Callithrix jacchus: one gene and its partner. The protein of the gene in region 1 interacts with the protein of each later gene in a pairwise test. Links are inferred from orthologs where the notes say so. Each region holds a gene or a part of one and is shown on either strand. Other genes may lie near its edges.

Region 1 (16,485 bases):
ACATCCAATTCATCAACCATCTCCAGAATTCTACCTCTAAAATGCATTTGAAACCATCCAATTTTCTCCATATCAACCCTAATCTAATAAGTATCATCTCTGGCTTAAATTACTGTAGCATGTTAACTGCATCCATTTTCACCCACCACTAGTTCATTCCCACAATGCTTTAAACTAAATGTAAATTCTGCAATGGCGGGTCATTGCAATTAAGAAAAACTCCAACTAACTTACAATGGGCTACAAGGTGCTGCAAAATTTGACCCCTGCCCACCTTTTAAACTTCCCCTCATGCCAGTTTCACCCTTGTTCACCATATTTCAGCCTTCAAAAGTATTTCTTATTCCTAACTTGCCCTTCAGAGCTCATCCAACCACATGGAACTGTCTCTTCTCAGCTCTTACATGATTGGCACAATTCAAATGTCATTTCTCAGTTTGAATGTCACTCCTCAGTGACTCACTCTCATTTTCCCCACCCTCAGTCCTTCTTCATCCTTTCATTCCTTACCTCCTAGTATTTGTGAAAATTTGCTACTATTTTAGTGGTTTATTTTTTGTTCTTTGGCTATCCCACACATTTGACTCTAAGCTCCACAAGAGCAAAAGCTCATGTCTGTTTTTTCTCTGGAATTCATGTGTTTACTGTAGTCTCTGGCTCATGTTCTCTATTCCCAGTGCTGTAATAAGACATTTTGAGTCCCTAAGCACTGTTAAAATTATGAAAAGTATGGTGCTTCCCATAAATAACTAAAAATAAAAACTACAGTTACAATAAAGCTTATACTAAAATCAAACTGGCTTTTATTTGTAGAATTTCTGGATTGTAAAATTCTGGGAAAGGTCATTGAAACAGACGTTTTCTCATTTCTTTGGTGTCCCTGATGTTTTGGTAACCTAGGCCCACGTGTTATCTGCCACGGTAATATACAACTGTCCAGGACCTGAAAGGGAAAAACTGCTTCTCATTTTAGCTTCAGAGCAAAGGTTTGTATTATCATGCGAATATGACTTAATAAATCTGTAATGGAGCAGTGGTTGCTGTGAACATTATAACTTTTTTTCTACGGTTAGAAGAATTAATCCTTTGGCCTGGTTTCATTTATTCTTATCTCACACGGCTTGTCAGCTCCATAGCTATTGACAAGCCCTAATCCCCTAAGTAAATTAACAGAAGAAAAATGGAGGAAAGAAGTTGTGTGTTTATGCATGTTGGGAGATGGAGAAGGCAGATTATTTTGATAAACACGTAGGTGGCACATAATGGGAACCATGTTCTGTGCTAGGAATCAGGATTAAACAACACTTGAGCAGCATGCCATGTTCTTAAGCATATCAGGACCTACATGCATACTCTAAACCACCTGCTTCCACTTCACCCCACAATCTCTCCAGTAATATCTTCCCTGGGATTCCAAACTACATTGTACTTTTCTTTTATCTGCTGTCAGAGCTGCCCGATTTTCTCTATTGTAGTGCTCAACATAATTTATTTTAAGTAATTATGTAATCTCTCTTTCCTCTTAGACCATAAGCTCCATAAGGGGAGTTCTCATGTTTCCTGACTCATAGCTACATCTCTGATACTTAGTAACAGCGTGCAATAGCAAGTAGCAATAAATATTTCTTAGATTAAGTAACAATGAGTGAATGAATGAACTTTAACCTTGACCTCAAAAGGCTTGCACTAAAATCAGAGAGAAAGACAAAGAAAAGAATATTTTCCATTCATCATCATAAGTGTAGTTAAGATGCATCATGGTACAATGGAAACCCTTGCTTCAATGCTAATCCTGGTATCAGTAAAGATGCACTGAAGAAAGTAATGGTTAAGTTTTAAAGGTTGAAGAATTGAGGCAGCAAAGGAACCTCAGGTGGTACTAGACGGAGCAAACACAGAAGTGTCTACCTGCTATGCAGGAAGTCATCTGTCAGATCATTGACCATAGAGTGTAGAGTTCATAGGAGAGTTCTTCTAATATATTTGTATACTGAAACTATTGATAAAGAACATTCAATGAGGTCAGAATGAGATCCTTATTCTTAGCAAACTCAAGAAGATCCTTACTGCTTACATTTAATGTTCTCTGTAAATATATAATGTATTAATAATCTCTTATAAAGGAGGCAGAAGACAAACAACAGTCACTTATGAATGCCTTTGTCTTTGCCTTCTTTTGGGGAAAATCAGGCTTTTGACTAAGTATGAGATAAGTATCTTCAGAATTCCTCATTATCTGTTGACGGCTGGTCTGCAGCCATAACAGCAAGCTTTTAGAATAATCCCAAGTGATCTGATTGATTTGGAAACATCCAGAAAAATGTGCTAGGCATAACCATAGTTAATAACATTGTGTTTATAAGAATATTGATATTATTTATCATTTATTACATGCCAGTTACTCCTTAATACTTTGCACACACAAACTTCAAAAACAACTCAATAGGACCACAGACTTTCAACAACCCAGGGAGTGATCTTGGAAGCAGATCCCTGAACTCAGTCAAGACTTCATATGAGACTGCAACCACAGCCAACCATTTAACTACAACCTCATGAGAGACTTTGAGCCAGAAGCTGTGAGCTAAGCCACTCCCAGATGTCTGCCCCACAAACACTATGAGTTACTAAATGATATTTCACAGTGCAAACAAATCACACAGAACAATAACTAAGTGGGGTAGGTACTGCTCTAATGTCATACAGATAAAGAAACTGAGCCATAAATAAATAAAACAACTTTTCCAAGGTCACTCAGAAGAGAAATCGTAAAGCCTGGACTCAATCAGTAAGTCTGTTTCCAGAGCCCACACTTTGCAGCTTCCTCCCATTATACTGTGTTATCTCCTGAAATTTTAATGCCACTTTTGAAGCCAAGACCCATACCCTGTGCTTTTTCAGACATCTCACAGAATTCAGAAGTCAAAGTTGGAAAAGTCCCAGGAGAGGCAGACAGTTTGGTCACAATTAACACCATTCTTAGAAGAAAATCAGTGTTTCCCAAAAAACATCATGCCTACGTAGTGAGGATATGTTAGATGACTTCAAACATGACTTCAAACATGTTAGATGACTTCATACATGAGCAAACATTTTTACTTTAATAACTATGTATTTTTAAAATCTGTGTCAGATAAACATTATGTTAATATGCATGTGTGCTAAATAAGGTAACTAGTATAATTATCTCAGAATTTAATTGTGAGAAATATCAACAGTATATTATCTGAACAAATTGTATTATTATAAATTACAGAACCATGATTCAATGCAGAAAGTTGTTCCTTTATTGATTTACTGGTTTATCCTTCAACAAATATTTATTGGGCACCTAATATAGCCCAGACACTAGTCACATACAGAGAAATAAAAATCGCTGCTCTCCAATAGTTTACATTCTAACAGGAAGAAACAAATAAAGAAATTTAATAGCACACAAAAACTACAGTATATTACTAATATATAATATAGTAGTAATAGAGTATATTACTAATATATAATATAGTAGTAATAGAGTATATTACTAATATATAGTAGTAATAGAGTATATTACTAATATATAGTAGTAATAGAGTAATTACTAATATATAGTATAGTAGTAATAGAGTATATTACTAATATATAATATAGTAGTAATGCTATACATCATATTATAGTATAGCATACCACATTAAACTACATTATATTATATGATAACATACTGTATTATATTATCATATGGTATATTACTATTAATTTTATATATAGTATATAGAAAAATAGAGCATGGTAAGAGAGGGGATGGTAAAAGAGAGGTGTGAATTTTTTTTTAATTAAAAATTATTATAAATAAAGTTGAAGTCTTTGTTTTACTAAAAAAATTAAGAATTTGTTTTTTTTTTAATTTTTTATTGGATTATAGGTTTTGGGGTACATGAGCAGAGCATGCAAGACAGTTGCGTAGGTACACACATGGCAGTGTGCTTTGCTTTTCTTCTCCCCTTCACCCACATTTGACATTTCTCCCCAGGCTATCCCTCCCCACCCCCCCTCCCACTGGCCCTCCCCTTTTCCCCCCAATAGACCCCACTGTTTAGTACTCCCCTTTCTGTGTCCATGTGTTCTCATTTTTCATCACCCACCTATGAGTGAGAATATGCGGTGTTTCATTTTCTGTTCTTGTGTCAGTTTGCTGAGGATGATGTTTTCCAGATTCATCCATGTCCCTACAAACGACACAAACTCATCATTTCTGATTGCTGCATAATATTCCATGGTGTATATGTGCCACATTTTTCCAATCCAGTCTATTATCAATGGGCATTTGGGTTGATTCCAGGTCTTTGCTATTGTAAACAGTGCTGCAATGAACATTCGTGTACATGTGTCCTTATAGTAGAACGATTTATAGTCTTTTGGATATACACCCAGTAATGGGATTGCTGGGTCAAATGGAATTTCTATTTCTAAGGCCTTGAGGAATCGCCACACTGTCTTCCACAATGGTTGAACTAATTTACACTCCCACCAACAGTGTAAAAGTGTTCCTTTTTCTCCACATCCTCTCCAGCATCTGTTGTCTCCAGATTTTTTAATGATCGCCATTCTAACTGGCGTGAGATGGTATCTCAATGTGGTTTTGATTTGCATCTCTCTGATGACCAGTGACGATGAGCATTTTTTCATATGATTGTTGGCCTCATATATGTCTTCTTTCGTAAAGTATCTGTTCATATCCTTTGCCCACTTTTGAATGGGCTTGTTTGTTTTTTTCCTGTAAATCTGTTTGAGTTCTTAAGAATTTGTTTTCATTTGCTTCTTATGGGTCCATTATCTCTTTCTTTCTTTCTTTTTATTTTTTTTTAAGATGGAGTTTCAGTCTTTTTGCCCAGGCTGAAGGTTCAAATGGCATGACCTCAGCTCACTTCAACCTCCGCCTTCCAGTTTCAAGTGATGCTCCTGCCTCACCCTCCCAAGTAGCTGGGATTACAGGAGCCAGGTTTTTAGTAGAGCCGGGTTTACACCATGTTGGCCAGGCTGGTCTTTAATTCCTGACCTCGTAATCCACCTGCTTCAGCCTCCCAAAGTGCTGGAATTACAGATGTGAGCCACTGGACCTGGACCGTCATCTTTACCATGTCAATTTTCATTTATGTTTTGCTGAAGTCAGAGACAAATTTCACTTAAAAATGAATAAATAACAAATTAAGTAAATCAGAAATAATTGCAATAAATAAGGGAAAACTATTATTAAGTAATGATAACGGTGCTACCTGGACGTGACCAAAAAGAAATAAGAAAGTCATATTTGAGTGGTTAAATTGGAGACTTCTTCAAATAGGAAATACCAAACTTTTCTCCCCACCGATTGACTCTTGACCAATTGTCTTATGTTGATGGGAGGAGAGGAGAAAACTAGAATCACTCACCCTTAGCCAGTCAGCTCCTGGAGCAAAGGATGAAATGCTGTGTGGAGGGTTCTGTCATCTAGTGTGTCACAGCTTCTATAGCCTGCAACTTCCTGCTTTGCTTACTTACAAGACCATCTCTGTGGAGAAGATAAAATACAGGAATGCAAAATGAAGTGAGATGATCACAACCTATTCCTTTATGCTACACATCACACATATGTGATGTTGACTTGGAAGTGTGTGCAGGCTGTGTGGCTGCTGAGGCTTTGACATAAGGCAGGGGACACTAGCTGCACAAAGCAGGAGGCAGGCTTTCCCACCAAGTGGACGGGAAGCCAGGGTCAACTGCTGGGGAAGAGCTGCAACCCTTTCCCCCATCACCTAGTTATCTTCAAGTCAGTTTTATTACAATAAGCTCTTGACATCCAGAGTGACACCATGCAGGAAAACATCCATCTTCTCATGGTTTAATATTAGTCACTTACAAATGTGTAAAAAGTAACTGTAGCTACATTTATTGAATATTTTCTATCTGCTAAACACTGTACATTTTATACACATCATCTAGTTTAATTTTTATAATGACTCATGAGATTCTATGATTATTTCTTTTTACAGATGAAGAATCATAGATCTGAGGAAGTTAATATATATGTTCCAAATTATACCTATAGTAAATACTGGCACTAGGAATGGAGCCAAGATCGTCTGACTCTGAAACTTGTGTTAATGCCGTTTTTACCTGTAAATAACTCTGTGGATTAAGAACAGATATTATTTCCATTTTATGGAAGAGTGGCAGAAAAGTGTAGTGGTCAGGAGGGTAAATGTGAGTGTTATAAGAGTCCATTTTAATTCTGGCTCTGTCGTTTATCAGTTGTGAATTTAGGAAATGTATCTAACTCCTCTGAGTTTTACAATGTCCTCAAATATCGAAATGTGTAGAACATTCAATCTCTTAGGGCCTCTCTGTCTTCGCCGTCATCACCATGGCTATCACGTATTTTGTGTTTTCTCACTTAATTTTTTCTCCTACCTGAAATTGCCAAGTAATTCCCCTTAAACCCTTAGGTTAAGAGGTGGCTACTACTATGCCACAATAGTAATCTTTATTGTACACTGTATGATTACTATATGCAAGTGTTTTTAGTGCATTATCTCATTCAACCTTTACAACGCCTGCACGCGATAAATACTAGTGTCATCTATAATGTATAGTTAGAAACAGAACTCGCCTAGAACTCGACACTACTGATTTCACTTCCCCTCTTCATACCCACCACCCTGACTGCCAGCTGACTTCGGAACTCGAAAAGGGCATCCATGAAAATGGCAGGAAGTGTCTTCAGGAAATGGAACGCTCCAGGAGTTTGACACTAAAAAAGATTGGGAACTGTCCACCAACTGGTGCTACCGAGAATAGTGGTTGTTGAAAGGAATTTCAGTCTCCTCTAGTCCAACTTACTTTTCCTCAGGGAAGTGTCAGATACCTCCAGGTCCTCTTCAGAAGGGCAGCTGGAAAAACAGTAAAACCAAGTAATTCACCTGAGACTAAGCCGGAAGTAGTGCAAAGGAATCAAGCAGACTCTTAATTTATTACGAAGTCCAGCCACTCCGTTTGCTTTCTAACAACCTTGTTGCCTGGTATTGAGTAAAGATGCTATAAAGGATCAACACGTTTGGAAGTAATAATAATCTGCTGTCATGCTACATAATTTTCTCCACATTTGTTATCATTTATCTGATGGTAAATTTCGTGCATTTTATTGGAAAACCACCGAAAATGAAAAAAACAGCTAAGCTGTTTCGTATGTTTCGACCTAGATTTCAATTAAATTTTAATTATTCTCGTCCCGTGCCTATCCACCCTCGCCCCATTTTTTAAAAGACCTGGAGTCTAGGGTAGGAGAGATCAAGAGCATCCCAGAGGGCAGCAGCACAAATTCGCTCCCCTCCAGACCCTGCAGCTTGCTTCGCCCATCTCCCCTCCCCTTTAGCTTGGTCGCTTATCATTGGTCATTGCCACGGCAACCAGCAGCTGCCAGCCCAGCAGCCTCTACCGCAGCAGGGGTGGGGTACTGGGGGAGGGGGAGAGAGAGGAGGAGCCAGCGGAGGTGTCTGCTGCAAGTTCCTGGCTGCTTCCGAGCTCACCCCATCCTCCGAGAGGGAGGAGGCCCAACTGGTGATGCTGCTGCTGCTGCCGCCGCCTCTATTGCTGATACTCTAGTGGAGCTGGAAGGGTGGTTCCTATTCGCACCATCGCCAACCAGAAACAGAGAGAAAAAAAACGGCAGCCGCTGCTGATGTTGGGTTCGGAGGCTGCATCCGACTCGGTCACAAGGAAAATGGATTCAGTTTGCATCTCTCCCTCCTTTAAACAGCTTCTCCGAGTCTCAGCATGGTGAGTAGGAAACAGTAGGGCTCCCTTCTTGGTTTAGTGTGTTATTATTTGACCTGTGTATACATTTCTGGCCTGAACTTGAACAATGACTCCCGTGCCTCAGACTAGGAGCGGGAGATGTGGAGACAGAGATGAGGATGGAGGGAGAGGAAGGTTGCCAGGAAGACAGAAGTGAGAAGGCAACCGCTTGTGTTAAAAAAAAAAAATTTGATGTTCTGATTTTATCTCTAACTGGCTCAGAATGCAGACTGAGCCACTTGGTGCCTTTTTTCCTAAGCTTAGCAACAGCATCAGGGGTTGGAAAAGGAGCTAACAACAAGAAGAGGGTGTTATTGAAAGGAATCGTTTCATTTGCAGCTCTCACATACAGGGTTGGGCCTTCTTCAGAAACACATTTGGTGTCTCATAAGCTTCCTAGACTCATGATAGGTGGTTTTGCTTATTTCATTGATTGTTTAGAAAAGGTGGCCCTAGAATTCGACATTCTATTTTATATTCTAATGTACTCTTATTGAGAAATCATTTGCCAGAACCAGTTTTATTTTATACATAGATTTGATTGTGAACTTATACATGTATATCTTATGGATATACATATCATATATACACACATTACTTAGCATTTATATGGCAATTATGAAAGATATTTATATGTAGAGTGTGCTTTGCAATCATTTTTATGGGTTAGATATGTCCTTGCATGCCTGAAAGTAATTGCATGTTTTTGAAACTATGCTTCTGGTTTGTATTATTATTCATTGGCTTCATTTGGATTAATGTGAAATTTACTCTTGTTGTTGTCTCTTAATTTTATTGTGACCAATTGGAAGAGATGCCTATCATTTGATCTGTATCATAGAACTAGATGCAAATTCATAGCCTGCCTCTTTATTTTTAATTGGGTTTGTGGGGGGTGATATTGAGGACACCAAATTTACAATGATGGGAAAGGGAGGCGGCTTGTGGTATTATTTTGTTTCTAGCGTCTTGCCAAGTAAATGTTTGAGCAAATCAGTTTTCTGGAAATGCCACCCCAACCTTTTCATGTTTGTGCCTTGTGTCCCAGGAAGCACAGCTAAGCTGGAAGGTGAAATGCATTCATTTTATTTAATAGTGCTGCTATATGCTGTTCATTCCTTCAGTATCCAGGCACCATTTTACAGTTGTCTCAAATGTTGTATTGTGGGTCTCCTTCTGCAAATGATTAAGTAGGAAAGTAGGATTGTTTTGAAAATCTAGCTATTCCCAAGTACCTAGCCCAGCCATTTCTAAATTAGTCTGCTTATACAATGAAATGAAACCAGAGAGGGAGCAAAGCTGAGCAGGAAAATGTGTGGCTTGTAGCTGAAATGGGGGGCTATTGTAGTTTACAAATGCTTATTGGGATCTGCTTGACCTTTTATTATGTCAAGGCTTTAAGGCAGCTCAGGAGACTAAAGATGCTGGAGATGAGGAGGTTCCATTCCCACCCAGGATAATGGATTTCATTGAACTAAAGCTAGAAACATTTTGTAGGTAAAATGTATTAGTAATATTACATTCACCACATGGGCTATTAAGGTTTTATCCATTAATCTCTTCTCTAACAATATCGCTGTTAGTATAGACATTTTTTACAATGTAAAATAACAATTGTTTGGGGCTTAACCTTGCATATGATTCTACATACACCCCCACCCACATTTATAGTTTTCATATGTATTTGAATCAGATTTAAAGTTTAATTTCTCTGAGAATAATTGTTCTATTTGGTTTATACTTGAGAAGGGGCCTTAGTGACTTAATTGTGCGTGTGCTCATAGCATGCCATATGTTATAGATCCACAGCTTTGTAAACTCCTGCTACCGTGCGCCTAATTGTAACAACTATATGAAGTAGGGCAAGGAAAGAGATACTGGGCTTGTATGTTATATCAAAATTGTAAAACATTGCATCCTGAATCTTTCAGTGATAATTCTTGACTTCCAAAAATTAAAATGTTAGATATGTCTATAGTACACTCAAAAAATTAAGATTTGTACTAGTTGACCCCATTTCATGCAAGGAAAGGAGATATCCTGGGGTTTTGTTTTTGTTGAGTTTTTATAGGATGTGATTTTATAGGCAAAGTTGGTACAGTTCAAACAGAGGCAAATCCCTTAGGCCATGTGCTTGAAACTCCTTGTAGATAGCCTGTTTCTGCCTAGTGTCAGCTATTACCCTGATAGAAATACAGGTCTAGCTTTTGACCCCACAATTTAAGACAATTATATGGCCTTTGCTAAGGGGCCACAGAAAAGTGAAGTATGATTTAAGCACTAAAAGGTGAACTCTCTGAGGAAAGATTCTTTTAAAACTAGGATTATCTCATTTGGAGAAGAGAAAACTGAAATATGACAATTATTTGTTTCAGATAAGCTGAACATGAGGCATAAGCATAGGACATTGTTTATCGCTATTTTTTGGAACCTCAAATATGGTCAATGGGCTTCAACTTTATGAGGAATTATGAATATTAGAAATATAAAATTGTAGAAGTTCCTCATTGTATGTGTGAGTAGTCAACTGGCTAATCAGATAAAGCAGTTCACTCTTTTCTCATCAAAACCTCCGTAAGTATGACCTAGATATGCATTTGTCTAGGATGGACTAGATTTCCTTCTCAATAACTTCTCTTGCTTTTTCTAGAGGAAGTCATTTATTTAAGAGAGTATGTTCATTGTTTAAGATCAGGCACTTCTAGATTATAACAGTAAGACTCCATTTTGTAGTTGGCTTCTAAATTACAGGATCTAGGTATTTGTAAAAAAATTAACTGATTGTCTTCCTAGAGAAGTTTACATGTAATTCTGCCAGAATGCAGGAAACTGAACATTTACCCATTAACAGAGGCCTTTCTCAGCAACTTTTTGGATTGTGATGTCAAATGTCTATATTAAAATTATTTTCTGTTGTATGGTTAATTTTGAAAAATGTAATGTGTTATTTAAGGGGGTCTTGACACAAAATAATTTAAGAACCATCAAGTTGATTTTTTTAAAAAAAACAAATTTTTTGAAAGATATGTACAAATTAATGCTTAAATGTGTTGTTTAACAAACTAATCTTCCACTCAAACACTACCTTAAAAATGTCATTCATTTTGGAATATTGAAGTTAAATATTTTGATTGGTATGTAAGCCTTAGTAAAACTTGTTTTAATTAAGACACACGTTAATTACTTTCTCACTTTGTAATAGGATATTTCTTATTTCAAGTGACTTCAGAACATATTTTTATTTTATCTACCTTCTGCAAGTTGACTTCAGAATGACTTAGCCAATATTTGGAGAGTAAAATAGTTTTCTATATTTATTTTGGGTTCATCAAAAATCAATGCTTTGTTTCTCATGGTTGGAGTCTTATTGTGGAAGTTTTAACATAAATAACACAATAATGGGCTTTTACTGAAATAAAAAGTTAGGTTTATACTTGGTTGTTACTCTTTGAAGTCTGTTACAATTCCCTCTGTTTACAAATTCCACTATTATTCTATCAAGGGAAAAATGTGCTTTCAAACAGAATAAATTAATCAATTAACTAACAACTATTTGTAGAGCTTTTATATGACTAGGAGACGTTGCATATGTTGCAACAAAAGAATTTCCTTGGAGAATATAAGATCTACACCCAGGAAATAGTTAATGATGAAAACAATATAGTTGTAATTAGTACCATCACTTCACCTTATATTAATACAATTTTATATAATTCTGTCATTTTTCCATTCTTTATTTTTCATTTTATATTTATCAGTTTCAATTTCTATTCTATCATTTTAATTCAATCATATCAGCAAATCCAGTGTCATAACAATTATTTAAAATAAATGGGAACAGATTTAGGGAGGTTAGATTTGTTCAGATTTGTGTTTGGTGAATGGTGTAACAGGATGGATCACTAATTTCATGAGTACAAACTACCATAGTAGAAAGGTAGTGAATTATCTTACCAATTTGAATTTTAATTAGTAAAATAATTTTAATTCAATTTACAAATCTGCATTGTGTGGCTCATTTTAGTTCACTATTTCAGGTACCATAATTTGTTCTTTGAATGTATTGAGTTTGCCAAAAAAAGGGGGGGCTCACACAAAAAAAGTATTTTAGAGAAAATCTAGCCTTCTTGCTATTTCAGAAAAACCTAGAAGCATTTGTTTGCATGAAAATCAGAACTTTGTTGGACCAATATGCACTTATTTTATAGATAGATATTGTTATTTTTAATGACATAGAGGTTAGTAGGTGACCATTTTTCTATGCTTAGGATCAGATTAAAATTCCTATAGGTCCTGAATCTTGAAAAAAGTTTTGCCATTCCTACCTATATGTCCTAATTATCTCTCCACCTACACATTCTTAAAAGTAAAAATGATATTGTCATAAAATAAGTGTACATCAGTTCAATGATTTTTTGATTATTTTCTCTGAACAAATGCTTCTACATTTTTCTGAAATATCAAAAATATTTATGTGTTTTTCAGATATTCTAATTTCTGGTGTCTCTTTTTCTTCATTAATGGCCTAGCAACATACTGGTGTGACAATTTGGTAATTCAGCCCTGGCCAAATAGCAAATCATGGCATCTGAACTATATTCTACCTTTGTAAAAAGTGTCCTTGAAAATTAATTAGCATGCAGTAAAAATGAGACCTGTCACACTAAAAAAATTCTTCTTTAAATCATTATTCACTACTACAAGTAAATTCTGTGGCGTAAAGCTTTTTATATTTAAAAATAATACATCCTTATAGTGGAAAACGATAACACAGAAATGTGTAGAAGGAAAATGAGAACCACTCATAAGCCTACCATCAAGAAATCATTACTGTTAGCGTTTCAGAATATTTCCTTTTAGATACTTTTGTGTAGACACACAGAAACACATGCAGACACACAGTTTCATAAATAGACCATATTCTAGGCATTGTTTTATACTGCTTTTGCTTTATGTATAGTGGCCATCTATCCATGTCAACAAATACGTCTCTACTGAATTTTAAATTTCCTTGTACATTTTTTTGATGATTCAAGCTGTTTTTTCCTTCACGTGGGAGTCTTCACTCTTTACCTTTAAATACTTCTCATGATACAGGTAGACCATGCTTGATTTTAAGCAACTGTGAGTCAAGCATTATATTCAGGAAATATGAACTCTGTTACCCTGACCTGCCACTGCATCTTACAATGGGTGTTAAATTAACATTGGTCATTCCTTGTCTGCTGGTAATGAATAAGTTCTGAATCCAAGGCAGTGAAATCCCTGTTGAAGTCACTAGGAATTTCTCCAGGTGCATGCATCAGCAACAATTAAAAACAAAAAACTAAAACACATCTCTTTCAGATTCATATTAGTTTTCCCAGTGTGCTGTAGTGGTATGTCCTGTAGTTTAATTTTTTAATTAATTAATTTATTATTATTATTATTTCAATAAGGTCTTGCTCTGATGCCCAGGCTAAAGTTCTGTGGCATGATCTCGGCTCACTGCAACCTCAACCTCCCAAATTCAAGTGATTCTTGCACCTTAGCCTCCAGAGTAGCTGGGACTACAGGTACTCACCACCACTCCTGGCTAATTTTTTATTTTTAGTAGAGACAAAGTTTCACCATGTTGGCCAGGCTGGTCTCAAACTCCTTACCTCAAGTGATCTGCCTGCCTGGGCCTCCCAAAGTACTGGGATTACAGGCAGGAGCCACCATGCCCTGCCTGTCCTATAGTTTTATCCTTGGTTAAGCAACTCAACTCCTTTATGGGAAGATATTTAAGTGTCTTCTCAGAATAAACCAAGTGTATTAGTCTATTCTCACACTACTATAAGGACATACCCAGTACCAGGTAATTTATAAAGGAAAGAGGTTTAATTGACTCAAACTTCCTCAGGGCTGGAGAGGCCTCAGAAAAATTACAATCATGGCAGAAAGGGAAGCAAACATGTCCTTCTTCACGTGGTGGCAAGAGGGAGAAGAATGAGAGCTGAGTTAAGGGGGAGGCCCCTTATAAATCCATCAGCTCATGAAAGAACTTACTATCATGTGACTAGAATGGGAAAAACCATCCCCAAGATCCAATTGCCTCCCACTGGGTCCTTCCCACGACATTTGGGGATTATGGTAACAACAATTTAAGATGACATTTGGGTGGGTACACGGCCAACCCATATCACCAAGATCTAGTTTTGCTATTTTTTCACTATATTCATTATTTCCTAGTGAATTCATGTGTATCTTAGTTTTCAAATAAAAACCCAGTCATCTGAGTCTTTCCCCTTTTTGAATGTGAATGGTTGACTCTTCTTAAACTTTAAGTCTGAACTTCAAACATAATGCCTTGGAAAGAATTCCCTAGGTATATCTCCCCTATTACTCTCTCCAACCTGTGTGTTTCCTTCATAATATGTATAAAAAGTTGTAATTACAGAGCTATTTATTATTTGCTTTCCCTACTCATCACTAGAATGTAAGCTCCATGAGGGCAGAAAATGAACCTGTGTTGTTCACCAGTTGTAATGAATGCCTTGATACAACATGCATGCTCAATAAAGACTATTTGGCAGAGTGACAGAATGAATGAAAGAATGAGAGTCCCCTACAGGGCTCCTAGCCTAAGATTGTAAAGGAGACTTCAACTAATAGCTCTTTTGACTGTGATTCTCATTTTTTAAAATTTGACTGTAAAAACAAGATGAATTGTATTCATATCCTCAGGATATTGTTATGATTTTGATAAGGCAAAATCAGATTCTTAAAGGTAACATATCACAATACTTAACAATATACATGATTAAAGACTGCTCACTACATGCTATGACATAAGTAAGAAAGGCTATGAACACTTCCGTGGCTCTTTTCATTTTCTTTTCAAAACTGAATTGCAAGTCAGAAATAGTGATATCATTAACAAATACCTTTAATTCACTGTGATTAATTAAAATAAGTTAGTAATTTAATTATTATAAGCTCCAAATTACATGATACACCTTCACAGCTATTGTGCTATTTTAGAAATCAACTCTACTGAATTCATTAATCATAAACAAATCATTCTATCATCTCTCCATCCAAAAATTAAGTTGAATCAGAAATGCATCTTACTCCAAAGATAAATTAAGGCAGCATCCTGCTTTCATGAAAGTTTTGAAATCAAATATAAAAAGAGTGACTTGAACAAGAGGGTTAGCTTAGCAGACACAAGGACATGCTTTTGAACCTCTGAGGATAGACATTTATATGGGTGTCTAGCCTGCTGATAGGCTGTAACTTAAGTATGAGGAAAAAGCTTTTGTTGCCTTTGTTTGGAATCGAAATCAAGATCATGGCACTTACTGCAATTCTTGAATTTCTGGAGTTCAGCTGCAGTTAGAATATACGTGGAAAACCAAATCTGACTGATTTTAGCTGACACTATATAGTTAGAAAACCACTCAATATTATTTTCAAGAAGGAAATTTTGCTGAGATTATCCTGACTCTAAAAAAGCCTGTGAGCATGCGCTTAGGAGAAGAGAGTGGTATTTTCATCATACCTTCTTTCCAAACTGGAAATGTTCCCTTGAAAAATGCTTATACCCACAGTAAAAACCAGGTAATTGTTTTTTACCCACATTCCTTACCTGGCTTTTTCTTATGTAGCACTTCATGGAGAGAGGTGTATTCCAAAAATAAACGGAGCTCTTACTCTGTAGTCATCACTGATCTATATTTAAATCCCTTAACCTACTCATAGATCAAGCATACCTAATTTGAACTTACTTTCCAAAATAAAATTGTTAGTTTTTTTAAATGCAAAAACACTCATGAAAACAACTAGACAGTATTTTAAATTAGTAGCATTCTGTGAAATCTAGGCTATTGTGTCATTCTACCAATAAGCCATTAAATCAAGAGCCAAACAGTCAACACATTTCTATATGATTATAACCAGTTTGGAGAATTTATATTAAAAATCCATGCTGAGAATTCACAAGCTGCTAATTCTGCTAATTGACATTGGCAACATAGAGAGAAGGACTTAGATGTTTTGAAGATATTATAGACCCTCAATTTGCTTTCTTATGAATTTGCTAGGTAATTCAGCTAACAAAAATGGGTACTCTGGAATTACAGGGATTTCTCCATCATCTGCTCAGCTCTAGTTTCTTAAACCCAAAAGAAGGAATTATTCTGACCACTGGCTCAGACTCTGTCTCCTATTGTCTTTTAAGGAGTAATTTAAGTTGTAGTTAATTAACCATAAAATGGATTTTGTATTTTAGAGAACATATTATTTTTAGTTATATTATGAAAAATGTCTGAATTTTGACTTCTTTTTAAAGAACTTTATTAAATGAAATTATCTATAAAATTTAGAATATAGCATATTTTGAGCCAGATGCTTAAAACATTTAGCAACAATGAAAAATAAGTCTCAGCTTTTTCAACATTGAGGTAACAAGGAATGCCTTCCCTCAATCAATTTTACATAGAAGGAATGCTTTACCTGTTTTGTTCTCTTCTTAGCTAGATGGTCCCCATTTTTTACCTACAGGGTGCAATGCTACACTCTGAAACAAGAAAAGGGAAAATATTAGCATACAAAAAAGGAAATCGATTGTTGCATCTGAGTGTGAGCTTTGGATTTTTGCTTTCTACAGGTTTAAAAGAGTTCAGTATCCAAATGCACACTTAAACATGGTTG
Region 2 (15,945 bases), on another chromosome or scaffold:
CCTCTGTCGACACTACTGTGTCTTTAATAATTCAAGAGAGTTTGTCTTTAGCGTATCTGGGTTGTTTGCAGTTGTAGGAAGGGTATGTGGGCGTGGTGTCGTTTAGTTGAGGGTAGGATTTGCAGAACCAGAGGTATATTTAAACCCTTGTTATCAAAAATATTCAAGATGGGATTCCCAAATCTGGAGGATTTGCTGTATTTAAGTATAACATATGATACTATATTAAAAGTTATTAAAATGTCCTTAGAGTTGCAAAATTACTTATTATGAAATTCAAATTCATTTGTTCAGTAGAGTATAATGAATTAATTTATAGATAAGCATTTCTATGTTTAATTAGACTTTGAAATTCTGCTTTGTGTTACCTACCAGGTGTTGGCCAGTTTTTTCTTTCTGTAAGGGGCCAGCTGGCAAATATTTTAGACTTTTTGGACCACCTAGTCTCTGATGAAACTACTCAGTTTCATAATTGTGGCATGGAAGTAGCCACAGAGGATATGTAAATGAATGACTGTGCCTGTGTTCTAATAAAACTTTATAAAAACAGGTGGATTGGATTTGCCTTGTGGGTCATAGGTTGCTGACCCCTGAACTAAACTCTACTACTCTACCTCACTGTAGTTGTCATGGCAAATATACAACAGACTTAATGGGAGATTGTGATAAGCTGTTACTTTCACAAATGCAGATTATTGCCATTAATCGTTTTAAAGTATGTTTTAGTTCGTTCTAGTTTGAAAACCCGGGTTATCACTCTATCTTATAATGAATTTTATTGTACTAAGAAAATAATCAACTGCTTATTTTAACTAGATTGTAATATAAAGACTTTGTTCTATTGTGAAATCGTGCTTCTAGTGGGTTAAGTCTTATAAATAATAAAAGTCCCTCCTCTAAAACGCTGTCCTCTTTTAAATTATAATAGCTAAGTTTAAAATTTTAGCTAATGCACTTGTGATGTTTAATTGCAGATGTGGATGCCACTTGCAGTGATTTTAATTTTGGAACAGCTTTGCATATTGCAGCGTACAACTTGTGTGCAGGTGCTGTGAAGTGCCTCTTGGAGCAAGGAGCAAATCCTGCATTTAGGGTAAGAGGTTAAATTAAAAGTGAAATATATTAAAAGAATTAAGAAGTCTTATCCTGCTTTCTGGTGAAGTGTTGAATCTGAATGTTGTTATTAATAGAAAATCTCTTATATGAGCAAGTAATTTATATCTTTGTGCCACATGTAGAGAGTGATGATCTTTATTGTAAATAAATATAAGGTATAATGATAAATTTTCTTTTATATTGGTAACTTCCATTCAGGAAACTAAACTCTTCCTTAAACTGTCATAATCTTTGAGTTTAAGTACCTTTCATTTAGGATTTTGATGTATTTATGAAAAGTTAGCCGTACAAATACATCTATTAAAGTTTTATTTTTCTGTTAAATCATATTTCAAATTTTTTGGAAAGGAAAAGTGTATTTTTTAAAATAGTGAAATTTCACCAATTTACAGAGTTACACAGGATTGAATTTCATAATCTTCAGATCCTTTTTTTTTTTTTTTTTGAGAAAGTGGTTCTCAGTTTTCACATCCTCTATTCATAACAATAACTTGCTCTGGCAGGTATTCTTAATTATGTCATGCTTTCCCTTGAAGGGGGTGGTATAGGCGGTGGATAGTGTGCAGTATTTGAAAACACCTGTCTTCTTTTCCCTTTCCTATTTTTTCCCATTTTCCCTACTTCTTTGCCAGTTTTCTTTTGTTTAACCCCGTTGATTACCCCCCAACTTTTAATTTCTTCTCTTCCTCCATCCCTTCCTTCTGACTCTATTGTTTATTGGGCACTGGGAGAATACTACAATAATGTAGATAAAGCACTTGCCCTCAGAAAGAATGTATTGCAGAGGGGAGGTGGGACAAGGAAGCAGTCAGTTTTACTGTAGTGTGCTAATTCAGTGTGATACAATGGGATGGGGGTGGCAGAGGGCCATAGAGTCATCTTCCCAAGGCTTCAACAGGGGCGACATTGAAATCGAGTGCTTACGTAGGCAAGAATTAACCAGGTACTGGAGGGAGGTGAGGAAAGCAGAGAGAATAGCATGCAAGAAGCCTAGGAGATGATCATTTAGTCCAGCTGGAAGGCAAAAGGGGTGTGTTTGCTTTTGCTGGTGCAGCTGCTGACAAAGCCCCATTAGTGGGGACAATTCAGTGTCATTAGTGTCAATCAGCCCCATTAGTGTTGTTTGAATTTGTTAGGATGCCATGAGATCTGTTATTGAGCTAAATTACCAATTTAGGCCAGAAATAGATTAATAGGTTGCCATATTTTGAAAATAACTACTTTAAAAAAAGCAATAAACATGTGAGTCAGCAGTGGTCTTCAGATCACAGTTTAATAAGCTACCATCTTATTTTTTTAATTTTTAATTTTAGTTGCAGGGAGTATATGTACAGGTTTGTGAAACAGGTATATTGCCTGGTGCTGAGGTTTGAACTCCTGTTGATGCCTCACCCAAACAGTGAACCCAGTAGGTACTTTTTCAAGCCCCAGCCCTTCTCTACCTCCTTCCCTCACACCCTTCCTCCTGTCTTTTGGAGTCCCCAGGGCCTGTTGTTCCCATCTTTATGTCTGTGTGTACCCAATGTTCAGCTCCCACTTATAAGTGAAAACATGCAGTATTTGGTTTTCTGTTTCTGCATTAATGTGCTTAGGATAATGGCCTCCACCTGCATCCATTCCATTGCAGAGGGCATGATTTCATTTTTTAAATGACTGTGTAGTATGGTGTATATGTACCACATTTTCTTTATCCGGTCCACTATTGATGAATACCTAGGTTGATTCCATGCATTGTGCTGTGAAATACCTATGAGTGCAATGTCTTTTTGGTAAAATGATTTATTTTCCTTGGGCTGTGTACCTAGTAATGGGATTGCTAGGTCGAATGGTAATTTTGTTTTTAGTTTTTTGAGAAACTTCCACATTGCTTTCCACAGGGGCTGAACCAATTTACATTCCTACTAACAGTGTATAAATGTTCCTTTTCTCCACAACCTCACCAACATGTTATTTTTTGACTTTTTAGTAATGGCCATTCTGACTGGTGTGAGAGAGAATCTCATTGTGGTTTTGATTAGCATTTCTCTGATGATGATGAACATTTTTTATATTTGTTGGTTGCTTATATGTCCTCTTTGAGAAATGTCCATGTTCTTTGCCACTTTATAATGGGGTTGTTTTTTTCTTGATGATTTGTTTACCTTTCTTATAGATTCTGGATATTAGTCCTTTGTTGGATGCACAGTTGGTATTTTCACCCATTTTGTAGGTTGTCTGTTTACTCTGTTGATAGTTTCTTTTGCTCTGCAGAGGCTCTTTAGTTTTAGGTCCCATTTGTCAATTTTTGTTTTTGTTGCCCTTGCTTTTGAGGACTTAGTCATATATTCTTTGCCTAGGCCAATGGCTAGAAGAGTATTTCCTAGATTTTCTTCTGGGATTTTTATAGTTCGAGGTCTTACATTTAAGTTTTAAATCTATCTTGAGTTGATTTTTGTATATAGTGAGCAGTGGTGGTCCAGTTTCATTGTTCTACATATGGTTAGCCAGTTTTACCAGCACCATTTATGAATAGGGTGGCCTTTCCCTACTGTTTATTTTTGTCAGCCTTGTCAAAGATCAGTTAGTAGTGTGTGGCTTTATTTCAGTGGTCTCTAGTCTGTTTCATTGGTGTATCTATCTATTTTGTAGCAATATCATACTGTTTTGATTATTGTAGCCTTGTAGTATAATTTGAAGTCAGGTAATGGGATGCCTCTGGCTTTTGTTCTTTCTGCTTAGGATTGCTTTGGCTATTTGGGCTCTCTTTGTTTTGGCTCCATATGAATTTTAGAACAGTTTTTTTCTAATCTTGTGAAAAACAATGTTGGAAGTTTGATAGGAATTGCTTTAGGCAATGTGGATATTTTAATGATATGATTCTTCCAGTCCATGAACATGGAGTGTTTTCACATTTGCTTGTGTTGTCTCTGATTTCTCTCAGCAGTGTTTAATAGTTATTATAGAGATCTTCCATCTCTTTGGTTAGATGTATTCCTCAGTATTTTTGTTATCATTTTGTGGCTGTTGTAAATGGAATTGTGTTCTTGATTTTGTTCTCAGCTGGAGTGTTACTGGTGTATAGAAATGCTACTGATTTTTGTATATTGATTTTTTTGTCCTGAAACTTTAATGAAGTTGTTTATTGGGTCTAGGAGTTTTTTGGCAGAACCTTTAGAATTTTTTACATATAGAACCATGTTGTTGGTGAAGAGAGATAATTTTACTTCCTCTTTACCTATTTGGATGCCTTTTATTTCTTTCTCTTGACTGATTGCTCTGGCTACAGCTTCCAGTACTATGTTGAATAGGCATAGTGAGAGTGGATGTTCTTGTCTTGTTCCAGTTCTTAGAAGGAATGTTTCCAACTTGCCCATTCAGTATGATGTTGACTGTGGGTTTGTCGTAGATGGCTCTTACTATTTTGAGATATATTTCTTCAATGCCTTATTTGTTGAAGGTTTTTTTTTTCCATCATAAAGGAGTGTTGGAATGTATGATTGCTTTTTCTGTGTCTATTGTGATGATCATACAGTTTTTAATTTTATGTGGTGAATCATGTTTATTGATTTGCATACGTTGAGCCTCCTTGTACAACTTGTCATGGTGAATTACCTTTTTGGCATGCTGCTGAATTTGGTTTGCGAGTAACTTGAGGATTTTTGCGTCTGTGTTTATCGGGGATAGTGGCCTGTAGTTTTCTTTCCTGTTGTGTCTCTGCCAGATTTTGGTATCAGGATGATACTGCTTTCACAGAATGAATTAGGGAGGTATCTCTCCTCCTCGTTTTTTTTTTTTTAATCATTTTGGTAGGATTGTTACCAGTTCCTCCTTGTATGTTTGGTAGAATTTGGCTGTGAATCCCTTTGGTATAGGGCTTTTTCTGGATGGTAGGTTTTTTATTACTGATTCAATTTTGTGACTCATTGTTGGTATGTTCAGGGTTTCATTCTCTTCCAGGTTCTTGGAAGGTTGTGTGTTTCGGGGAATTTATGCATTTCCTCTTGATTTTCTAATTTGTGTGAATAGTGGTATTCACAGTAGTTGCTGAGGATATTTTACATTTCTGTGGGACTGGTTGTAATGCCACATTTAATATTTCCAATTGTACTTGTTTGGATCTTCTCTTTTTCTTTGTTAATCTAGCTAGCAGTCTATCCTGTCATTTCAAAGAACCACCTTTACTTTTTTCTTTCTTTTTTTTTTTTTTGAGACAGAGTTTCGCTCTTGTTACCCAGGCTGGAGTGCAATAGCGTGATCTCGGCTCACTGCAACCTCCGCCTCCTGGGTTCAAGCAATTCTCCTGCCTCAGCCTCCCGAGTGGCTGGGACTAAAGGCGCGCACCACCATGCCCAGCTAATTTTTGTATTTTTAGTAGAGATGGGGTTTCACCATGTTGACCAGGATGGTCTCGATCTCTTGACCTCATGATCCACCCACCTAGGCCTCCCAAAGTGCTGGGATTACAGGCGTGAGTCACCGTGCCCGGCCAAGAACAACCTTTTCATTTTGCTGATCCTTTGAATGCTTTTCTTGGTTTCAGTTTCATTTAGTTGTACTCCAATTGTAGTTACTTCTTCAATTAGCTCTGAGTTTAGTTCTTATTTTTCTAGTTCCCTTAGGTGCAGTGTTATAATTTGAGATCTCTCTTGATACAGGCGTTTTGATACTTTCCTCTTAACACTACTTTTGCTACATCCCAGAGGTTTGGTATACTTGGTCTCTGTTTTCATTTGTTTCAAAGGATTTTTTGAATTCTGCCTTAATTTCGTTGTTTATCCAAAAGTCATTCCGGAGCAAGTTTTCTAGTTTGCATGTGCTTGTTTAATTTTGAGAGTTCATCTTCGTATTGATTTCTGTTTTTATTCCACTGTGGTTCAAGAGATGCTTGGTATGACTTTGATGTTTTTGAATTTGTTGAGACTTGCTTTATGACCTGGTCAGTCTTTGAGTATGTTCCATGTGAAAATGAGAACCGAATTTATATTCTGTGGCTGTTGGGTGGAGTATTCTTTAGATGCCGATTGTGTCTAATTTTCAAGTGCCGTATTTAAGTCGAAAATTTGTTTTCTGCCTTGATGATCTGTCTAATGCTTTCAGTGGGGTGTTGAAGTCACCCACTATTATTATGTAACTGTCTGAAGTCTTTTTGCAAGTCTAGTAGTAATTGTTTCATAAATTTCGGTGTTCCAGTGTTGGGTGTGTGTGTATGTAGGATAGTTAAGTCTTCTTGTAGAATTGAACTATTTATCATTATGTAATTCCCTACTTTGTCCCTCTTGACTGTTACTGGCTTAAGGTATGTTTTATCTGATAAAAGGATAGTGACACCCTGCATGACAGATCTTTCTCCAGCCTTTTACTTTGAGCTTACGGGTGTCATTGCGTGTGCCATGGGTATCTTGAAGACAGCAGAAGGACAGGTTTTTTCTTTTTTTTTTTAAATCTAATTTGCCACTCTGTCTTTTGAGTGGTGTGTTTAGGCTGTTTATGTTCAGGGTTAATAGTGATGTGTGAAGTTGTGTTCCTGTTGTCGTGTTGTTAGCTACTTTCTAGTCTCGATTTGTGGAGTCTATAGACTACATGCTTAGGTAACGCTTTTTGTGACAGCAAGTATTATTCTTTTGTTTCCATGTTTAGAACTCCCTTGATCACCTTTTATTAATCCTTTTAGGGTTAATATTGATATGTGAAGTTTTGTTCCTGTTGTGTTGTTAGCTAGTTGCTTCGTAGTGTCAGTTGTGTAGCTGCTTTATGGAGACCATAGACTGTGCTTGCATATGCTTTTTTGACAGCAAGTAGTAGTATTTTGTTTCCATGTGTAGAACTCCCTTAATCATCGTTTATAGGGCCAGTCTGGTGGTATGCCACCATTTGAGAAGAAAATAGAATTCTACAATAGATCATGAATTAACCTTCCTATGTTAGGAAGATACTGTTTTAATTTTATTCTTACTATTAATTTTTTTTAACAGAAGTTTTGATTGCTGAATTATATGGGAATTGTATGTAAGCATAGCTTACAACTCTTCAGCCTGAATGTGTTTTTTAGAGAGTATACATTAGTGTAACACATATCTTTGTTATATTTTGTATGTTTTCTTGGAATCTGGGATTAAAAGAGTTCATTACCATCCTAGAAATCTGATAACATATCTTCTTGCCATATTTTTACTAAGGACCAACCTGACTTGAATTTTAAATAAAAAAAAAAAGTGAAGCAATTACAAAGTAAGTGTATTCTAAGAGACTCATTCATTTTTCCACATGGATCATTTGAAGAAGATTATCATCAGTGAAGAAAAGGGAAAAAGTTTCCCAGTTAATGAAAGTATCTAGATTATTTCTCATGAAGTCTAAGGGTTGTGGTTAGGGAATGTAAGAAGACAGATAATTTACATGATAGGGCTTTGATGATAGAGATACTATTGCAAATGACCGTGAGGTGGTCGCTGGCCATTTTATTTTGTCACAGGTTAAGTCCCAGGATACAGTCTTTCCGTTGTAGTGAAAACAGAGTTATTTTTCCTTGATTATAGCCTAGGTTTTAGAAATATCAAAACCATAGTTTCTAGTTTTGAAATCTGAATTACCCCATGAGTGGGCAGGAGTCTGAGGTCGCAGAGCCAAGAGCGCAGCAGTTCTGGAAGCGTCGACTGGGGCTGGGAAGCCAGTCAGTTCTGTGGCTTCTGTTTCCAAGCTTGCCTTCTCATGCCTGTGCCGGCAGGCTGCTCTCCACTTAGGACCTGAGCACTGCTCCTCCCTATGGATGGGGATGCGGTGCTTTTCCCTGCCAGAGAACCCGCTCGGCTCCTCCCTGGCCTGCTTTGGATCTCTGTGGAGAGGCATTTCATCAGTGCGATCTTCCTCACCACTTAGTCTAAAGAGTTTCCCCTACAACCATCTCTGTCTCTACATTTCCTATCCCCCTTCCCTGCTTTCTTTTATTTTTCCTCCTAGCCACTTATGACTGTTGATTTTCTCACATATAATTTACTTGTTTCATATTGTGTGATCTGTCTCTCCCACCAGAATGTAACATTCCTCAAGGGCAGGGCTTGTGTTTTCTTTGCTCTAGGATCTTTATTTAGCACCTAGAATGGTGCCTGCATATTGCAGGTGTTCAGGAAATGTTTTTGAATAAACAAATAATGAATGAATTTAATGTAAAATTCCTCGACAGAAATTTTATATGACTTTCTAGTGCTCTAAGTAAATAAGAGTTGAACATTTTCTCTCACCTTTATTTGTAGAATGACAAAGGACAGATCCCTGCTGATGTTGTTCCGGACCCAGTAGATATGCCGTTGGAGATGGCTGATGCTGCCGCCGCTGCTAAGGAAGTCAAGCAGATGCTCCTAGATGCGGTGCCTCTGTCGTGTAACATCTCAAAGGCCATGCTTCCAAATTACGGTCACGCCACTGGCAAGGCAATGCTTACGTCACTTGGCCTGAAGTTGGGGGATCGTGTTGTTATTGCAGGACAGAAGGTACAATAAGTAACTGCAGTCTCTAAAGCCAAGGTCACTGTGTCCATGACCTGTGTTCAAGGGTGCATACAGTATGTGAAGTATTTGGATCGAGTATAAAATTAACACCAAGACAAATGTATGCCAAATTGCAGAGTCTTTATTGCCGGTGACCACGGAGGACTCGCGTCTCTCCAGCCCGTGGCCTGGAAAGGAGGGTGACAAGACCCTTTTATGCCTGTAAACCACCTCCGGGGTGAGGGTGTGGGGTGGGGATGGGGGTGAGGGGATTCAGACATTCTGAGGGCCAGGGGATTCTGTAAATCACTTCCCGGGCAGAGAGGACGGTGCAGGTCTCCGGACATTCCAAGGGCTAGGGGACTTGTCACTTCGATTGTAACCTAAGTGGTTACAGAAGCAAGATAAGCGTTAGTTTACATATCATCTGGGCAGTGGTGGAATCCACAAATCGTAGTTACTTATTACAAGTCGCAGGGGCCAGGATTGAATTAGCTTGGGCTGCTTATTCTGATCATTACCGGTAAGCAAAGGCCAGCAATTCAGGTAGTTACTGATAAGAAAAGGTAAGCAGTCATTGTGAGGAGAATGGGGCAGCCATTACAACTTATTTTTGGAAAACAGCTTTGTCTTTTATAAAATGGCGTTGCTCAGGTTCCAGCTATAGCACATATGGTCAGTGTTTTGAGTTTTTTAAAAAAAGGTCCAACATGTAGGTAGAAAGATACTTAATGGAAAGTGTAAAACTTAGATACAAATTTACTCTTAAGTTATGCTTTAAGAATATAAACTACCTGAACTTAATAATGAAGACATCTTTATTTGAATAGAATGGAGTGGAGTAGAACTCTTGAGTGTGTTTAGAGGCATGAGCTGAGGGATGATCTAGGGTGGAGGATTTTCTTTGCAGTCCCCCTCTTCCCCCAGTGCAGCTTCTCTGACTGCTGCTACTCCATAGAAATTGAGCACAAGACACTTTTGCTGTTTGTGGGTATTTGTCTTTGAGTTCTCCACAAATAGGGCAATCCGAGATACTATATAATCTGGTGAGAAGGATTTATGTGGAGAAGAGGATGACTCCTGCTCCCATCATCCACACCCTTTTCTCCTCCCAAGCTTTCGTTTCCATACTGCATCATTTATTGCCAGTTTCTTTTAAAAAATATCTCCTATGGGAGGTTTTCTTGGTTTTTCTTAATATAGAGGTTAATAGGGAGCTTGGTGTGGAGAATGGAACAGGGAATTCCTGCCTGGATATTGAATTTCCCAACATGGTTACGCCCAATTTTTTTTTTTTAAGATGGAGTCTCACTCTATAGCCCGGGCTGCAGTGCAGTGGTACAGTCATAGCTCACTGTGGCCTCGAACTCCTGGGCTCAAGCGACCCTCCTGCCTCAGCCCCTGGAGTAGCTGGAACTACAGGCGTGTGCTACTATCCAGCTAATTAGGATTCTTATGTCTTGGAAATTGTCTCCTTTATTATTTAATGTTCCTTTTTATATTTGGTAATGTTCCTTGCTCTGAAGTGTGCTCTCTGACCACTTAAGTGAGCTCTCACTTCAGAGCAAGGAGTGTTACCAAGGATTAAAAGGTAATGTTGAAAGAGCAAATTCTTTAAATTCACTTTGAGTGAATTTTTAAAAACTTTCATGGTGAAGTAAAATTGCAAGAGTAGGACACTTGGAATTACTAATAATTCCCTAAAGTTATTCTGACTTATATTTTCTTTAGGTTGGTACATTAAGATTTTGTGGAACCACTGAATTTGCAAGTGGGCAGTGGGCTGGCGTTGAATTGGATGAACCGGAAGGAAAAAATAATGGAAGTGTTGGAAAAGTGCAGTACTTTAAATGTGCCCCCAAATATGGTAAGGTTGACATTATTTAACTCAGTAAGAACTAATTAAAAATAATCCAGTTTTACTCTTTTACAGTTGTTAAGTCAAACTTTTCTCCTGATTACTTACGTGATAAATGAGGGGCATGTGGATGTAGGGACAGCTTTTTAAAGATGGGAGATGGGTGATGTGAGAGGGAGAAATGGACATTGCAGGAGAGAAAGGGGACAATTACAGGGGGAATGTCCTGAAAAATTTGAAAGGGAAACGGAATTCAGTATAAGACCCTTGCATTAGATCAGGCACTGCTTTTCACTTTTTATTTATTTTGTTTTATTTCATTTATTTATTTTTTTGAGATGGAGTCTCACTCTGTCACCCAGGCTGCAGTGCAGTGGCTCGATCTTGGCTCACTGCAACCTCTGCCTCCCTGGTTCGAGTGATTCTCCTGCCTCAGCCTCCCAAGTGGCTGAGACTACAGACACTTTTCACCATGCCTGGCTAATTGTTGCATTTTCAGTAGAGATGGGGTTTTACCATGTTGGCCAGGCTGGCCTCGACCTCCTGACCTCAGGTGATCTGCCTACCTTAGCCTCCCAAAGTGCTGGGATTATAGGCATGAGCCACTGTACCCAGCCAACCATGAGTTTCAGAGGTCATGATGGAAGGGTTTAGGAAGCTGTCTGGTAGTGATTGGTGAAAAAGAGGGCATCTGATGGGATTGCCTTGATGATGTTTCTGAGAAAGTGTCTTTCTTGGGACTGGTCTCTTGGGTGGCTTTTAGAGGGGAGATAGTGATGAGAGAGGTGTTTTCATCAGTAAGCTGTGAGCTGTGGGACTGCCCTATATTCTTGTAGCCAGCAGCATAGTGATTGGGAGATAATCTCTGACCAGGGGCATGCCCAACTCTGCAGACCTCCCTTAAATCCTGCTCCTGGTGGTGTCATGGCCGAGAGAGGGACTTGGTTATCAAGGAAGTACAGAGCTTTGGAGGTCATGAAGAACTTGGAAAATTGGAAAAATCAAGCAAGGCCAACTTGACTGCACTCCTGAGGTTTCTTTGAAACTCTGCGAGGTTTCTTTCTCTTTCTTTCTTCCTCTCTTCCTCTGTCCGTCCGTCCGTCCGTCTGTTCGTCCATCTCCCTCTGTTGCCCAGGCTGGAGTGCAATGGCACCATCTTGGCTCACTGCAACTTTCGCCTCCTTGGGTTCAAGCAATTCTCCTGCTTCAGCCTCCTGAATAGCTGGGATTACAGGTGTGTGCCATCACACCTGGCTAATTTTTGTATTTTTAGTAGACACGGGGGTTTCACCATGTTGGTAAGGCTGGTCTTGAACTCCTGACCTTGTGATCCATGTGCCTTGGCCTCCCAAAGTGCTGGGATTACAGGCATGAGCCACCGTGCCCATCCGTGAGGTTTCTTTCTCTTTCTGACAAAGGCAAATGTTTAAGTAAATTTTGACAAATGTTGAAGTAAATTCTTTCTGACATGTTTAGGTAAATTTATTCTTTCTCTCTCACACGCACTTATCCTGTCTATTGATTTCAATTTGATTTTGTAGTCACTTACTATGTTGTGAATTTTTTTCCTGGAAATGAAATATTCTTCTATAACATAATTTTCCATGATCGTGTAGTATTCATCTCGTGGCCTGATGGCGAGGTGGAGTGGTGTGATGATGATGAAGGGTATGGACTTTGGAGTCTGACTGCCTGTGTGTGAATCGATTTCTCTACTTATCAGCTATGTGACTTTCTTTCTCTTCTTGTGCCTCAGTTTGTCTTCTGTGAAATGGGGATGACACTATCATGAGGACTTGTGCAAGGATTAAATATGTTGGTAAACATATAAAGCACCTAGGATAGTGCTTGATTCCTTGTAAGCACTCATGAGATGAGAGCTACTGGCTATTATGTATTTATCAAAATTACTAGTTTCCTTTCATCACATACTTAGGATGGAATTTCATTTTTCTGATCAATTAAAACTTTTTTTGTTTGTTTATAAAAATGCGCATTGTATAAGATTTGAAAAAAAAATTCTGCATTTTTTGATATCCTAGTATAATATCCCCAAATCTTTACATATTGTTTGAAAATGTGATTTTGAATAGCTGTATTTCCTTTCACTTTTCCAATTTGATGGATGAAAATTTTATATTTTAATTTGTATTTCTCTTATTGTGGTGAAATTAAAGACTTATTAAAGTGTTTTGTTGTAGTATAGATTTTTTAAAAATTGTGTTTTAGGTTTTGGGGTACATGTGAAGAACATGCAGGATTGTTGCATGGGTACATACATGGCAATGTGGTTTGCTGCCTCCATCCCCATCACCTATATCTGCCATTTCTCCCCATGTTATCCCTCCCCAACTCCCCACCCCCTGCTGTCCCTCCCTTAGTTCCCCCTCCACAGACCTCAGTGTGTGATGGTCCACATGTTCTCATTGTTCAACACTCACCTATGACTGAGAACATGCGGTGTTTGATTTTCTGTTCTTGTGTCAGTTTGCTGAGAATGATGGTTTCCAGTTTCATCCATGTCCCTACAAAGGACCTGAACTCATCCTTTTTTATGGCTGCATAGTATTCCATGGTGTATATGTGCCACATTTTCTCTCTCCAGTCTATCATCGATGGGCATTTGGGTTGGTCCCAAGTCTTTGCTGTTGTCAACAGTGCTGCAATGAACATTCGTGTGCATGTGTCCTTATAATAGAACAATTTATAATCCTACGGATATATACCCAGTAATGGGATTGCTAGGTCAAATGGAATACCTATTTCTAGGTCCTTGAGGAATCGCCACACTGTCTTCCACAATGGTTGAACTAATTTACACTCCCACCAACAGTGTAAAAGTGTTCTTATTCCCCACAGCCTCTCCAAATCTGTTGTCTCCAGATTTTTTAATAATTACCATTCTAACTTGTGTGAGATGGTATCTTAATGTGGTTTTGATTTGCATTTCTCTAATACACAGTGATGAGCATTTTTTCATATGTTTGTTGGCCTCATGTATGTCTTCTTTTGAAAAATGTCAATTCATATCCTTTGCCCAGTTTTGAATGGGTTTATTTGTTTTTTTCTTGTAAATCTGTTTTAGTTCTTTGTAGATTCTGGATATTAGCCCTTTGTCAGATGGGTAGATTGCAAAAATTTTTTCCCATTCTGTTGGTTGCTAGTTCACTCTAATCATTGTTTCTTTTGTTGTGTAGACGCTCTGGAGTTTAATTAGATCCCATTTGTCTATTTTGGCTTTTGTTGCCAATGCTTTTGGTGTTTTAGTCATAAAGTCCTTGCCTATGCCTATGTCCTGAATGGTTTTGCCTAGGTTGTCTTCTAGGGTTTTTATGGTGTTAGGGCTTATGTTTAAGTCTTTAATCCATCTGGAGTTAATTTTAGTGTAAGGTGTCAGGAAGGGGCCCAGTTTCTGCTTTCTGCACATGGCTAGCCAGTTTTCCCAACACCATTTATTAAATAGGGGATCCTTTCCCTATTGCTTGTTTTTGTCAGGTTTATCAAAGATCAGATGGTTGTAGATATGTGGTATTGCCTCCAAGGCCTCTGTTCTGTTCCATTGGTCTATCTCTCTGTTTTGGTACCAGTACCATGCTGTTTTGATTACTGTAGCCTTGCAGTATAGATATTTTTTATGTTTCTTGGCAGTTGCCTATTCATATTATTTTCCCAGTAAAAATCAGGATATTAGAGTGTTTTTTTAAAAAGGGATTAGTTTTAAAAATACATACTTATGATATTAAGCTTTTATATTAATATAATATTTCACTCAGTTTGTCATTTGTTTTTGAACCTCATTTGCGGTGTTTTGTGGACATGTAGCTTTATGGCTTAAAGACTTTGCTTTTATAAATTCTTATATTGTTTTATGCTTTGATAATTCCTCCTAATTTAAGGATTACCTCTACATTTTATATGTCTTTAAATGTTTTAATTTTTCCTTTTATTTAGACACATAATTGTACCTGTTTATGGGGTACAGTGTGATATTTCTGTGTAATATAATGTGTAATGATCAAATCAGGGTAATTAGGATATCCATTACCTCAATCATTGATCATTTCTTTGTGCTAAGAACATTCAAAATCCTCTCTTTTAGCTTGTTGAACATATACAATAAATTGTTAATTATCTTCACCCTGCAGTGCTGTAGAACACTGGAACTTATCCTCCTGTCTAGCTGTAATTTATGTTTTAATTTTTTATACTTAATTATGTAATCCATTTGGAATTTATTTGGTCAGTAGTGTGAAGTTAAGAATTTAATTTTAATTTTCCTCCGATGGATTACTTTGCCACCTGTCAAGCAGACTAAGGGCAGGATCAGAAGCCTTTAGCCGCACACAGGGCAGAGGTAAATCAGAATTACAGGAAACATTTAGACTGCCAGCAGATCGAGTGGGGACTCCCAACCTTTCATTGTCACAAGGGGAGACACGCTTGATTAGCGCAAAGCTAGATACCCCCAGGATGCTGCTTCTGTCACCTTATATGTACCTGAAGGCAAGATGTGGGGCTGGGGTCTTGTGTTGGATTGTGTGAAAATGGGCGTAGCCCTTGACAATACTGGGAGCTCTAGGTCATTGCTAAGCTACTTACGGTGGAGGGGAGGGGAGTTGGGGAATCTCCTGGCTAATTAGAAACCAAGAAATTTCTCAGCAACCATTTTCTCTCTTTCTAAATCTATCCTCTTTTTCCTTTTGACTTATGGTGCTGCTTTTGTTATAGATGAAGTTCTTATTAATGCTATGGTGTGTTTCAGGATTGTTTTGTTCTATTGATCTGTTAATTCTCGTACATACTAGATTTTTTAACTGTAGAAAATGATAAGTTTGGTAATGTGTTGGTAAACGTATAAAGCACCTAGAACAGTGCTCGATTCCTTGGAAGCACTGAAGAGATGAGAGCTACTGGCTATTATGAATTTATCAAAATTACTAGTTTCCTTTCATCACACTCTTAGGATGGAATTTCATTGTTTTGGTCTATTAAAACTTTTTAAAAATAGACCCGAGATCTGTGTAATTCACTGCTACCCCGAGATCTGTGTAATTCCACTGCTACCCTGAGACCTATGTAATTCCGGCCAGCACTGCTGCCCTGAGACCTGTGTAATTCCACCCAACACTGCTGCCCTGAGATCTGTGTAATTCCACCCAACACTGCTGCCCTGAGATATGTGTAATTCCACCCAACACTGCTGCCCTGAGATCTGTGTAATTCCACCCAACACTGCTGCCCTGAGATCTGTGTAATTCCACCCAACACTGCTGCCCTGAGATCTGTGTAATTCCACACAACACTGCTGCCCTGAGATCTGTGTAATTCCACCCAGCACTGCTGCCCTGAGATCTGTGTAATTCCACCCAACACTGCTGCCCTGAGATCTGTGTAATTCCACCCAACACTGCTGCCCTGAGATCTGTGTAATTCCACCCAACACTGCTGCCCTGAGATCTGTGTAATTCCACACAACACTGCTGCCCTGAGATCTGTGTAATTCCACCC

The links.
Region 2: the proteins of JAKMIP2 (region 1) and CLIP4 interact in binary tests that used the Homo sapiens proteins (3 or more experiments, as listed by UniProt). The two-hybrid records come from large-scale screens. The link is inferred for Callithrix jacchus from reciprocal best matches to the Homo sapiens genes JAKMIP2 and CLIP4.

The regions. Positions count from the first base shown.
Region 1 is NC_133503.1:46,333,469-46,349,953, reverse strand, and holds the start of JAKMIP2 (janus kinase and microtubule-interacting protein 2), read left to right. Parts: upstream 1-7,533; 5' UTR 7,534-7,788; coding exon of another isoform or gene 7,789-7,791; intron 7,792-16,485.
Region 2 is NC_133515.1:85,914,868-85,930,812, reverse strand, and holds part of CLIP4 (CAP-Gly domain-containing linker protein 4), read left to right. Parts: intron 1-974; coding exon 975-1,093; intron 1,094-8,345; coding exon 8,346-8,582; intron 8,583-10,310; coding exon 10,311-10,446; intron 10,447-15,945.